Macaca mulatta: one gene and its partner. The protein of the gene in region 2 interacts with the protein of the main gene of each other region in a pairwise test. Links are inferred from orthologs where the notes say so. Each region holds a gene or a part of one and is shown on either strand. Other genes may lie near its edges.

Region 1 (6,279 bases), on a different chromosome or scaffold from region 2:
GTGTGTTTCTACCAAGTTCCAAGGTAATGCTGATATTGCTAGAATAGAGAACCCACTTTGAGAACCATTGCTCTACACTATTCAATATAATACCTTTTAAAGATTTAAAACTGCATTCCTTTAACATATCTCCCTTCTGCCTATACTCCAGAAAGTGATGTAAAGTAGCATAGACTTGTTTATATGGCACTTAATGCCTCCACTGTCATCCCCTGAACTATTCTATTCCACCTTCAGAAGGGCCCCTCACAAGGCAGAACTGGCATCCATTAGTAGCAGACCATAATAGTCTGGACACTCAAAATATGCTAAGCACTAAGGCAGAGAGAAGGTTACACATAGTAATTACCACTGGACAAAGAACATGTAATTAACAAGGTTTTGTTGAGTCAAACAGAAATACCGGTTCCATAAGGTAAAAGCTTTTTCCTCAAGTAATTTACCATAAAGTTTAATTACTGGTAGTGTGCTATGATGGGTTTATTAAAAGCATTGGCGTTCACCATGTAAGGAGGCTCCATATGTGCTATTAGTCACATTTAATTCATATTACTAAAATTTTATCACCAAGAAAGGCCTATTTCACTTCAGTTTTGTTGTTGGGAGCATTATATTCCTCCTGGCAGTCAGAAGCTGTGGTTATTCACATTCATGAGCTATGCATTAAGGTTCATCACTGAGAAACTATCCTCACCAAGAGGAGCCCAAGGGGACATCACCATTCTAGAGAAGGGGGTGAGGAGAGAGAATGGGTCAAGGGTGCTTTCCAGAGACTATAACTAGAAGGGCAACTATCTCAATGCTACCACTGATGCAAAAATCATGGATTCTTATTTTCCCCTCAGAATGTAAGAAGGGAAGTGAAATAATTACTTCTTCATGAGGCACTTGAAAATTTCTAGATGAAGGGTAACCAGTTAAGTGTAGTTCTGTTTTATTGGGCTCATATGTAACATGGAGCTTTTAACTGAGTTGTCATTATTGTGATGTAATGTGAAAGTGTAATGACAATTCATCACTAGGTCTGACCCCTTTTCAACACCATTACTACTTGCATTTCCTTTTTTTTTTTTTTTTTGACAGAACCTTGCTCTGTCACCCAGGTTGGAGTGCAGTGATGCAACCACAGCTCACTGTAGCCTTGAATGTCTGGGCTCAAGCGATCCTCCCGTCTCAGCCTCCCAAATAGCTAGGACTACAGGTGTGTGACACTACGCCAGGCTAATCTTTTTTTTTTTTTTTTAAAGAGGCAGGGTTTTTGCTATGTTTCCTAGGCTGGTTTTGAACTCCTTTGCTCAAGCAATCCTCTTGCCTCAGCCTCCCAAAGTGGTGGGATTACAGGCACAAGCCAATGTGCCACTACTTGCATCTCTTATTTGGCATTGCCTTTCATAGAGGAAGGTGCTGCTAATGCTGCTTGACTGAATGAAAAGTTTGGATTGTGCTTCCTGCCCAAAAGATAGTGGGGAGCAAATCTTTATTCATCCAGTCCCAAGGGAAGGAATTTGTCAGCCAGTCTGTAACCGTGAAATAGACTGCGGTTAATTAATCCAGAGCGGGAAACAAGGACACAAACATGGCCTCATTAGCAAAGGGAACAAGAGAAAATGAAATGATCATCATCATATTCTTTAAAATGTCATACAAATAAGGCTGAGAGCTAATAAGTAGCTCTCAACCTTATTAATATTTATTAATATTTAATAAGTGGGTACTTATTAGTATTGATTAATCAATCAGATATTTGGGGGTAGGTATCTACTATATGTTGGGTACTACATAGAAAAGTTACTTATTCTTAACAATTTGGTCACGTAAATATGGGTCTATTTAAATGTGTGAGCTGAATAGAACTAACAGTTACTATGGCAAGTGTTAATTTACATCAGCAAACAGAGCTCTTTTGATCTTTTTTTCACCATTGGGTGACAAATTTCCTGGACATGCAAAAATTCTGGCCGCTTCAAGTGTTCTTGGCACACACTAGGTAAGTCGAACATTATCACCCTGCCAGTGGCTGGAGCCGAGGCACTCGAGGTACTCACCCTGAATGGCTGGTCTGGAATGAATGGGAAGTAAGGGATTGCTGACTGTTCTTCACCCCTCTCCCCAGATATACAAGAATTTCTGAGTAGCTGCCGATCTGTGAACACAGCTTTGAGTTCAATTGCCACATCGGCAGGAGGGTCTTCAGAGTCCCCACAGGTCAAGCTGATTGCAAAGCTGAAAAGAAAATCATCTCATTGATTCAGGGTTGGATATAAAAACATTTCAAAATGACCCAGGTGCTTATATTTCCTGTTCCTCCTCTGGGTTTGCCCGTTTTTAAGAGGCCACTACTCTTCAAGAGAGGTTAGATTATGGAGAAGTAAGTCAAACCAGTTTATTTTGTTACCTAAAGCAAGCTCTGGTGAAAACTTTGGTGGAGCTGAAAATGACTAAAATTAGCGATTTCAAATACCCCAAAGCGACCACACATCTATGTCTTAATCCACTTCGGAATTCTCAAAAACAGCCACAGAAATTGACCACGGGAAATAATGTTAAGTTGGGTTCTTATTCATCTTGATAGTTCTTGCTTCTGGCACCATGTTTCAAAACCATAAAAAAAAAAAAAAAAAAAAAATCCTTTGGCCTCCCTAAGGGTCAAAGAGAAAATGTAGGCCTATATTTATAATCTCTGATATAAATAGCTGTCTGGAGAAATGATGGCTGGGATTCATACACATTCTTTTCATGGGAACATGGTACTTTCTTGGCACTGGCAACTAGCAACATTGTGCACAAGGAGAGGAAGAGGAGGAGTGCTAAACCACAACAGGAGTGGGCAGGGCTCAGCCACAGCCTGATAGTTCTGTAAAGACTCTGCCTTACCTCTCTGGGTTGAGGTCTACGATGCCCATCACTAACACCTTCTTGCCTGGTCTCATGCCACCTTTAATGTGCCCACAAAATGGAACTATCTGCAAAGGGTGGGAGAAGAAAAATGAGTTTCACAGCCTGTTAGGGAAGAGCCAAGACCTCAGATCCTGAAGGCCTGACCCATTGGAAAATGCAATAAACAAACGAATAAAATTTTAAAAAGCAACGAGAAAGGAGGAGGGTACAGGCAGAGACACAGAACACAGAGCAAAGCCATTTACCAGTCGTGGGAAGTACACGTCCGCTTGAACTGGAGAGCCCAAAGAGTTGTTTAAATGGCCATCATCTAGTTTCTAAAAATAGAAGCACACAGATTGGCTTTCCATGGGCTCTTTTTTGGGGGGCTGGAGGAAGAACCCACACAGATGTGGTGGAATCCAGCAGTCTTCCACACGCACACAGTGTCTGCCGATGATGCCTCTTCACTGTTTCTTAGATAATCTCATAACCCCCGAAAAAAACCCATCCTTTCCACCCGGTGGTTAAGCTTCTGAAGATCCGCAGACCCTTCAGATCCAGATCAAAATCAAGGTCGAGGTCCACCGAGGAGCCAGAGCCCCACGCCGGAGGAGGGGAGGCCCCTCTTCAACCGCAAACGCTTCTGGAAGCGCGGTGGGCCAGGCCTGTCCTCCGGGACGTGGCTGAAGTGGAGCGGCCGTGCTCAACTTCTCTCGGGAGCCCCGGGCGCCGACCCATTTCCAAGGGGGAATCCCCGGGACGTCGGGGGCGGTGGTGGGGCGCGCGCCCCGGACACACTCACCCACGCGCACACCTGGCTGGCGGTTGCACGGCACAGATCGGGCTGTCGGGCGCCCCCACCCCGCCATCCTCCCCAAACTCCCTCCCCAGCCCAGAGCCCCGCAGCCCGGGAGCCTCTCCAGCCCCCAACACCGGCCGCGCGCAGCCGGCGGCTGCTAACAGGTACCCGGCGCCTTCCCACGCGGGGGGCGCCGGCCAGGCCTGCGGCTTCTCAGCACCCCAGCACTGCTGGAGCAGGCGGCAGCGGAGTGCGGGGCGGCGGGGAGGGGCGCCTCGCGCGCGCCCTGCCACACTCACCACCACGGCATCGCTGTCGGCCACCGATCCCGCCATCTTCTTGCCCGGCGCGGCGGGGTACGTGGGACGCAGCGCGCGGGCGGGGATCCCGGGGCTGTCCTGCGCGGGGCGGGGGCGGGGGCGCGGGTCCGAGCTGGCGCGGGCGCGCGCACACACGAGGGGGCGCGCGCGCGCACGCCCGGGGCCCGGCGCCGACCTGGCAGGCAGGGGCTGGGAGGAGGGGAGGGGAGGGAGGCAGCGCGGGCCGCGAGGGCCAAGGTGCTCGCCGCGGCCCGGAACGGCCCCGGACCTGGACCGACGCTGCTGCTTGCTGCCGCTGCCGCTGCCGCTGCCGCTGCCCGACCAAGAAAGGTGGCAAGGGCCGTGCCGCGTCGGCCCTGGGCAGCATTTAAAGGCCTCCGGGGCCCGGCTTGGGAACCGGGAACAGGGCGGGGACCCGGCGGGGCTGCCGCGGCTTGCTCAGCGGGCCCTGCCCCTCGGCCATTGGACGGTGGCGGAGGCCGTCGCGGGAGGGACGGGCCTGTCCCGGTCCGGGAGGGCGGGGACCCTGTCGGCGCACACCGGCCAGAGGGTGGGCAGGGCCGGGGCTGGAGAAGTAAGGGCCCGAGCAGGTCAGGTGACAGGTGCTCGTGCCACCGGCGGCGCCACTCCCTCCAGCCTCCTTCCTCCTCCTGCCACGTCCTGGGGGCTGGTGGGGCGGTGGGAGGCGAGGTCGAGGGAAGACTGGGTGCTGGGGGTGGTATTCCAGAGTGGGAGACTCGGCAGGATTTCTTTCAGAGAATTCCAACAAAATCGGGGGAAGGATTCATTCTGCTCTCTAGGGCAGAAAGAGAATGGAAGGTCTGAAGGCTTGCAGAAATAAATGTGTGACCTGAAAGAACGAAGCAGAGAGGACTCAAGGTAGGGACCTTTCTATCCCAGGAGGCTAGAAACAGAAAGGTCTCTCTTCCCTGTGGAAGGACAGGCAGGTCTGGGGTTCCCTGGACTCTCTCGGACAGGAGTCTAAGCCTTACCAAATCAAACTGGGCACAGTCACTGTCCTCAGGGAGCCTCCATTGAGCCCTGTTTTTAACAAGTCACTTGCCCAGTCTAGGGTAGTAAGCTTCTCACTGAAAATCTCCTCATACCCTTCATGGAGTACTTCCCAGGGGATACACACCTCTTTTATTCAAGCCAGAAATTCCTTTATGGCATTTCCACACTAGGATGATTATGTAACTTCTCAGATAAAGCTGTATCAACATATCCTCTATTAGGTGACATCCTTGGCTGAAACATTCCGTTGCATGAATCACCGGGGCGTTCTACACTAATAAGCAGGGAGCATGTGTGTACTGCAGTCCCAGAGGGCCCCTCAGAGGCTCCTTTTTTTTTTAAATTGAGACGGAGTCTCCCTCTGTCGCCCAGGCTGGGGTGCAGTGGCGCGATCTCAGCTCACCTTCGCCATCTCAGCTTACCTTCGCCGCCGGGCTTCTTTCTAGTCACTGCAATTGGCTGTGTGGCCTAGAACATCACTGCGGCTTTTGTGTCTTAGTTTTCCCTTTATGGACCAGAGCTAATCATGGTAATCTCAGTTGAGCAGGGAGAATTACCTACACACGCCTGTAAGCCTCAGTCATATCCTCTGGAAGTGGTTCTCGAACTAGAGGCTGAAGCGCAGCACGCTTGTGGCTGCAGCACACTTTGTTTACCAGTCTTAGCTCAAAATCACACTTTATTATATTTTAAAATATTAGGCACTTATAGGAAATTATTGACATTTGAAAGCACACTTTAGTATGTATCAATTTCTGAGAGTCTGGTATAGAGAAGCAGCATTAAAGTGCAGCAGTTCTTTGTCATTAACTGAGTGACACAATAAGGGTGATACAATATGTGATGGAGTTAAAGAGTCGGTGTCCTGGGTTCAAATTCTGGCTCTACTATTCTCTAGTTATGTGATCTTGGAAAAATTACTAAACTTCTTTGTGCCTTAGTTTCTTCATCTGTTAATACTCAGAGATGATGATGATGATAATAATAATGCCTATCTCAGGTTATTGGGAGGATTAAGTAAATGCTTTCCTTAAAACAGTATTGGGCACATAGTGAGCACTTATTATACAAAAATACCGAGTGCTTGCCATATACCAGGCACTGGGGATCCGGCAGGTGACTTTTTTTTGCTGAGCTTACATTCTAGTGGGCAAAGGAAGTCAGTAAACAAAATATGTTGGGTGATAAAAGCGTTAGGAAAAAATAATAAGGTGAGGTGTGGTGGCTCATGCCTATAATCCCAGCAATATGGGAGGCTGAGGCAAG
Region 2 (5,708 bases):
GTGGCAAGGCCAACAATTCTCCTCAGCCTGAGACCCGCCCCAGCACAGACCCACGCACATTCATTCCCACCCCAAGGTTCAGGACCCCCTCTCCGGCACAGACCCCCCACACATACACTCCACTGCACGGGTACCCCAAGGTCCCAGGCCCCAGCCCCTGCGGGCTGTCTCTGCAGCCTCAGGCTGCTCATTCGGAAGGGTGCATAGTGAGCCCAGGCCACCTGCAAGGTCCTCTCCAGCAGTGGCACCCCCAGCTCTCACCTGCCTGCAGCAACTCCCAGCCCTGGTGCAGCTGCGGCAGGGCCCCACCCAGGAATGACCTCTCCTCTCCACTACGAAACTAGAACTCTACTAAAACAGCATTTGCTGAGGGAAGGTTCCAAGTCTAAAGGAGATGCCCAGTCTTCTGACCACACCTCCAGACAAGGCTCTCCCGTCTATACCTCGGCTGAGCCCAGCCCTGTGCCTGGACACCCCTTCCCAGCAGCGCCCCCTCTACCGCCAAGGCACATGGCGCTGCCCTCTGAACCTAGCCCTCAGCAGGGCACGGTGGCTTAGCCTGGGATCCCAGCACTCCAGGAGGCTGAGGCAGGAGGATCATTTGAGGCCAGGAGATCAAGACCAGTCTGGGTGACAAAGCGAGATGGCCATCTCTACAAAACGTTTTTTAAAATTAGCCAGGTGCAAAATTAATCCCAGCTACTCGGTGGCTGAGGCAGGAGAATCACTGAACCCAGGAGGCGGAGGCTGCAGTGAGCCAAGATGGTGCCATTGTACTCCAGCGTGGGTGACAGAGCGAGACTCAATCTCAAAAAAAAAAAATCAGCCAGGTGTACTGCACATGCCTGCAGTCCCAGTTACTCTGGGTGCCACTGCACTCCAGGCTGGACGACAGAGTGAGACCTTGTCACAAAAAATAAAGTAAAATCTAGCTCTGCAGGAGCCCTCTCTAAGAAGGAGGAGGAGGAAGTTGCTGCCCCCATTTTGCTCCAGGAACATCAGGACACTTTCTGGGCTCATGGTCCTGGCTCCAGAGGCCTCAGCGTCTGCCCCTCTTGACTGTCTGTGAATTAGGACAGCACCCGGGAGTGCATCCACAACCCACCCAGCCACCAAGAGAGAGGTGGCGTGCACGCCCCCACACGTGGCCCGACCCCCGACCCCACACCCTGGCCCCGCCCACTTGTGCTGCAAGTCCAGCTGCTCCTGCAGCTCCTGCTTCTCCGACTCCAGGCGCTTCACCCGCATCTCCTGGTCCATCACGCTCCACTGCAGTTCCGAGATCCTCCCCTTGAGTGCGCTGATGGTCTAAAAGCAGAGGGGGCCAGAGAGCCACTCAGTGAGTAGAGCCCATGCATGGAAGGAGCACATGGAGGTGAGAAGAGCGGACAGGCACCACCCACATGCTACAACCAAGCAGGAGGCAGAGGGGCAGAGGAATAGGGGGCAGAGGGGCATCAGGCAGAGGGACAGAGGGTAGGGGGACAGACGGCAAGCGGGCGAGGGGGACAAGGGGAGCAGAGGAGCAGAGGGCCAGGGGGCAGAGTCACCTCCTTCTGGAGGATGCGGGTCCAGGCAGGCACTCACACGCAAGGCCCACCCTCCTCCTGGCGCTCCAGAGCAGCACAGCCCAGAGCCTGCAACGAGCCATGCAGGAGCTGACTGAGGAGACCCAGGCCCCAGCCAGGGCCCCTGGAAAGGAGGCTTGGTAAGGCGGCTTCAGAAGCAAAAGTCCTCACCAGCCAAGATGGGCCTGGACTCTCAGGCCTGGCACCTGGCAGTCTCTGTGCCAGTGCTGCATGCTCCCAAAGTCCCACCAGGCATCCACATACCCACCACACCATCATTTTGGTCTTCCCTCCAATAGTGGCTCCTGTCGTCCCTCCCCAGCCACCCCAATGCTACTATGCCGGCTGTTTGCTAATGACATCGCCCTCGAACAACAGCAAGGCACTGGCCAACCAACAGGACAAAGACGGAGGCTGTGCAGGGGGCTAGGCGGTAGCTGTTGGGGAGGCCATGCGCTTGGAAGGGGAGCGCATAGCACAGGCAGGAGCACCCCTGGGGAGGCAAAGCCAACAGCCTCTCTGGCAGCCTCCAGGACACCAGGTCTGCCTGACAGCACGGAACCCGCGCGTGACAGAACCGCCACGCTTCATCCTGACCACCCTCACCAGGCAACCTTCTGAGGACCCTAACCCTCTGGAAAAGCTCAGAAAACCCTAGGTGTCCTCAGAGAAAGAGCACGTGGGTCGAGCCAATGTGAGAAGCCGGACAGACCCTGAGAAGCATCACTGTAAGTTAACACAGGGAAATACATGGGCGTGATGTCAGCTCTGGGGACCATGCCCCCAGGGCAGGACAATGGCAAACTCACACAGCAAACAACCTGGGTGGGCCTGGCTGGGTGGCACCCTCCGCAAACAAGGAGGCCACAGCACTCATTTCCCTGTTCCTGAGAACCCGTGGCCAGCTCAGCCCGCTGAACCCTATCACTGCCGTCCACCCCACGACGCTCTGGGAAGGCGCGCATGGGGGCGGTGTGCTCCCAGAATGCCCACAACGGGTACAGTTTACTTCACCCAATGGTGAAGCATTAACCTGGGAGTCAAAAAAGAAGGTATTAAAAACATACTAACAATAAACACATCCTCCCAGAGGTCTTCTGAACTCAACTAATACACACCGGATGCCGGGACCAGGCTGGATGCAGGGCCGAGCCCACCTGCCCGCAGGGGCACCTGTGTTGTAGGGGACGCCGGACAGTTGGCAAGGAAGAGGCACATAAGACAATTCCAGAGTAAGGAGGTTGACAATCAGGGCCCTGTGACAGGAGAAGGCAGCCAAGGCCTAGTGAGCAGGAGGGTTTGCCCTGAGGAGCTGCCACCCTAGCTTAGACGTGACAGGCCAAAGCAGCAGCGCCTGCAGCAGCGCGATTTCCCCTCACGGAGCCCCACCCCACTGGGCACCACCCTGCGGCTCCTGCAGTCTCCCACTCCTCTGCCCCTCGTGGAGTGCTGGGCACGACTCACCCTCCCCCATGGAACCGCAGGTGCCCACAGGCAGCGGGGACAGGGTCTGACCCACCTCCAGCACAGCCCAGCACACAGGAACTGGAACCCAGAGCACGGGCAAGGCAAGAGCAGCTTCTCGGAGGCCAATCACACCTCCTTTCCTGCCAACGTGCCCTCCAGAAGCAGATGGGGGAACAACCTCAACACGCTTCCCCAGCACCACCCACAGAAAGGACGCAGGGCCAGTTTCTGGACCCCTCCAGGACGCTTGCTGCACGCCCACCCCACCCCCACCCCTATGCCAGCAGATTTGCATGTCTCCTCTTGGCACCAGCAATCTTGATCTTCACAGAAAAAGGACAGGAGAGGTCAGAAGATTCCAATTTCCACCAGCGCCCACATCCAGGCTGTTTCTAAAATGCAAGCAACCTTCACCAGGACTGTGGTTCACACAGGCTCCGGTTCAGAGGCAATTCTCCCGACACCATCAGATGCCTGTAGACCTTGCGGATAGTCAAAGAAATGCAAATCCATTCGTGCCTACTTAAGCCTCCTGACGAAAGAACAACTATTTCCAGAAAAGACCACCATCCACGACAGGGAAGGCTGCAGGGAAACTGGAGCCCTCAGCCGGGGCTCTGAGAACAACCGCTACAGAGACCGCCATCGCTGGGGACCTTATAGCCCAGGCCTAGGGGTCTGTCCAAAGTCAACAGAAGCGAAGGCTGCATAGATACACAAGTGAACACAAACACACTAAAAGTCCATAAATGACAAAAAACGGATTCATCAGCCTTCAAAATTCATAATTACAAATGCAAAAAAACTGCTTAACTTTTTTTTTTTTTTTTTTTCAGACAGAGTCTCACTGTGTTGCCCAGGCTGGAGTGGAATGGCGTGACCTTAGCTCACTGCAACCTCCACCTCCCCGGTGCAAGCGATTCTCCTGCCTCAGCCTCCCGAGTGGCTGGGACTACAGGCGCCCGCCACCACACCCAGCTAATTTTTGTATTTTTAGTAGAGATGGAGTTTCACCATGTTGGCCAGGCTGGTCTCCAACTCCCGACCTCAGGTGATCCACCCACCTTGGCCTCCCAAGTGCTGGGATTACAAACATGAGCCACCACGCCCAGCCCAAGTGCTCAACTTTTTAATTGAGAACTATAGAATGGAAAATTAATACTTCTACTGATTACAACTATGCAAAAAACGCAGCTGTCCGTGTGGGAAGCACAATTAATAACACAGGCGCGGCGCTGCAGTGGTGAACAAGAGCATGCATTCCCTCTCCTCAGGAAAACAGTGCCAGGAGGGCAGTCCCCGCGGAGCGGAGGCCCCGCTCACCTCGCCGGCCTGGGCCAGGCTGTCCTCTTTCTCACGAAGCCTCTTGCTGGCAGCGTCCAGGTTCTGCTGACACTGCCTGTTGCGCTCCAGCTGCTCCTGCATCTTCTCCTCCGCCCCAGCCTCCCGCTCCTGAAGCTGCCGGATGCGCGTCAGGAGCTCCTGGTTGCGATCAACCTCGCGCTGTCAAGAGAGCAAGAGTCAGATGCCATGTGCCACCCACGGGAGGGTCAGCGGGGAGCCCTCACCCCCACGCCTCTCTCAGAACAGGCCGAGGCGCAAAAAAGAGGTGAGCAGGACGCATCAGCCAAGTCAGCGGCAGAACCAGGATGGAACCTGGGACCCAGCTCCAGTGCCGGCGCCCCCGCTGAGGCGCCATGACGGTGAGCACTGTGCAAAGTCAGGACTCCCAGGACGGGCACTTGGCACAGATCACACACACATTCATCACACCGTCTGCTCAGCAGTTGCCTCTGCAGGGAGAGGGAGCACGGGAAATCTACAATTCAGCATTGACCTTGGGGAGAAGCTGAGCTTTCACAGCACCAGCAAATCCTGTCTAACTTCACTCTGGCCGGCACTGAAATGAGCTGGCACTCCCCCAGCGAGCAGCCGATGGGGCAGAGACAGGTGGCGTGAGCAGGAGGCTGCGGACAGAAGCAGTTTACACTGGGCTCAAATCTGCCACACATGCACACCATCTCACACAAACCTCCAGAGCCACCCCCCCGACTGGCCTTGGGGAGGCTGCGTGGCTCTCACTGGTTGGGATGGGACATAACCAAGAAGCACGCTCAGACCTCCTGACTCTAATGACCCGCAGGCCCTGCAAGTTCACTGCCAGGTACAAGAGTCCCAGGAGGTGAAGGCGGTGAGTCCTGATGGAGCCCAGCACTCTGGGACCCTCTCGCCCTGCCTTCCTCGGGAAGCTCCAAGCACTCCCCCTGAGCCCAGGGAGGAGTATGAGCTTGTGCTGTCCTCATCTGGGGTACTCCAGCCCAAAGCCCAGGAGAGGTGTTACAGAGGTGGCTGCCTTCTGAGAGAGGCTGACCCGCACCTCGGAGGGACTCTAGCCCTTGTGAGCTGCAAGGGCTGCCTCACAACAACCAAGAGACTCTTCTGTGATGCAGAACAGGAGCTGGGGTTGGCATGGGGCTCCGCTCAGCACCATCACAGCCAGATGGGGCACCAGGCCCGGGACTGCCAGTCCTAGTGCAGACAGGGCAGCCAGCAGGTCGCCGGACTTCAGACACTTAGGTCTCAACCCCTAATAGGTATTTCCAGGTGGAACTCCAAGGAACAATTGGAAGACTACTGGTTCCAACTGTTCCTGGGATCCTGTGCAGCTGTGTC

Evidence for each region.
Region 1: the proteins of MAD1L1 (region 2) and LGALSL interact in binary tests that used the Homo sapiens proteins (3 or more experiments, as listed by UniProt). The two-hybrid records come from large-scale screens. The link is inferred for Macaca mulatta from reciprocal best matches to the Homo sapiens genes MAD1L1 and LGALSL.

The regions. Positions count from the first base shown.
Region 1 is NC_133418.1:60,272,418-60,278,696, forward strand, and holds the start of LGALSL (galectin-related protein), read right to left. Parts: upstream 4,040-6,279; 5' UTR 4,015-4,039; coding exon 3,979-4,014; exon of another isoform or gene 3,670-3,978; intron 3,216-3,669; coding exon 3,144-3,215; intron 2,964-3,143; coding exon 2,875-2,963; intron 2,224-2,874; coding exon 2,046-2,223; intron 1-2,045. UniProt on the Homo sapiens protein: Does not bind lactose, and may not bind carbohydrates.
Region 2 is NC_133408.1:36,186,701-36,192,408, forward strand, and holds part of MAD1L1 (mitotic spindle assembly checkpoint protein MAD1), read right to left. Parts: intron 4,539-5,708; coding exon 4,359-4,538; intron 1,309-4,358; coding exon 1,184-1,308; intron 1-1,183. UniProt on the Homo sapiens protein: Component of the spindle-assembly checkpoint that prevents the onset of anaphase until all chromosomes are properly aligned at the metaphase plate.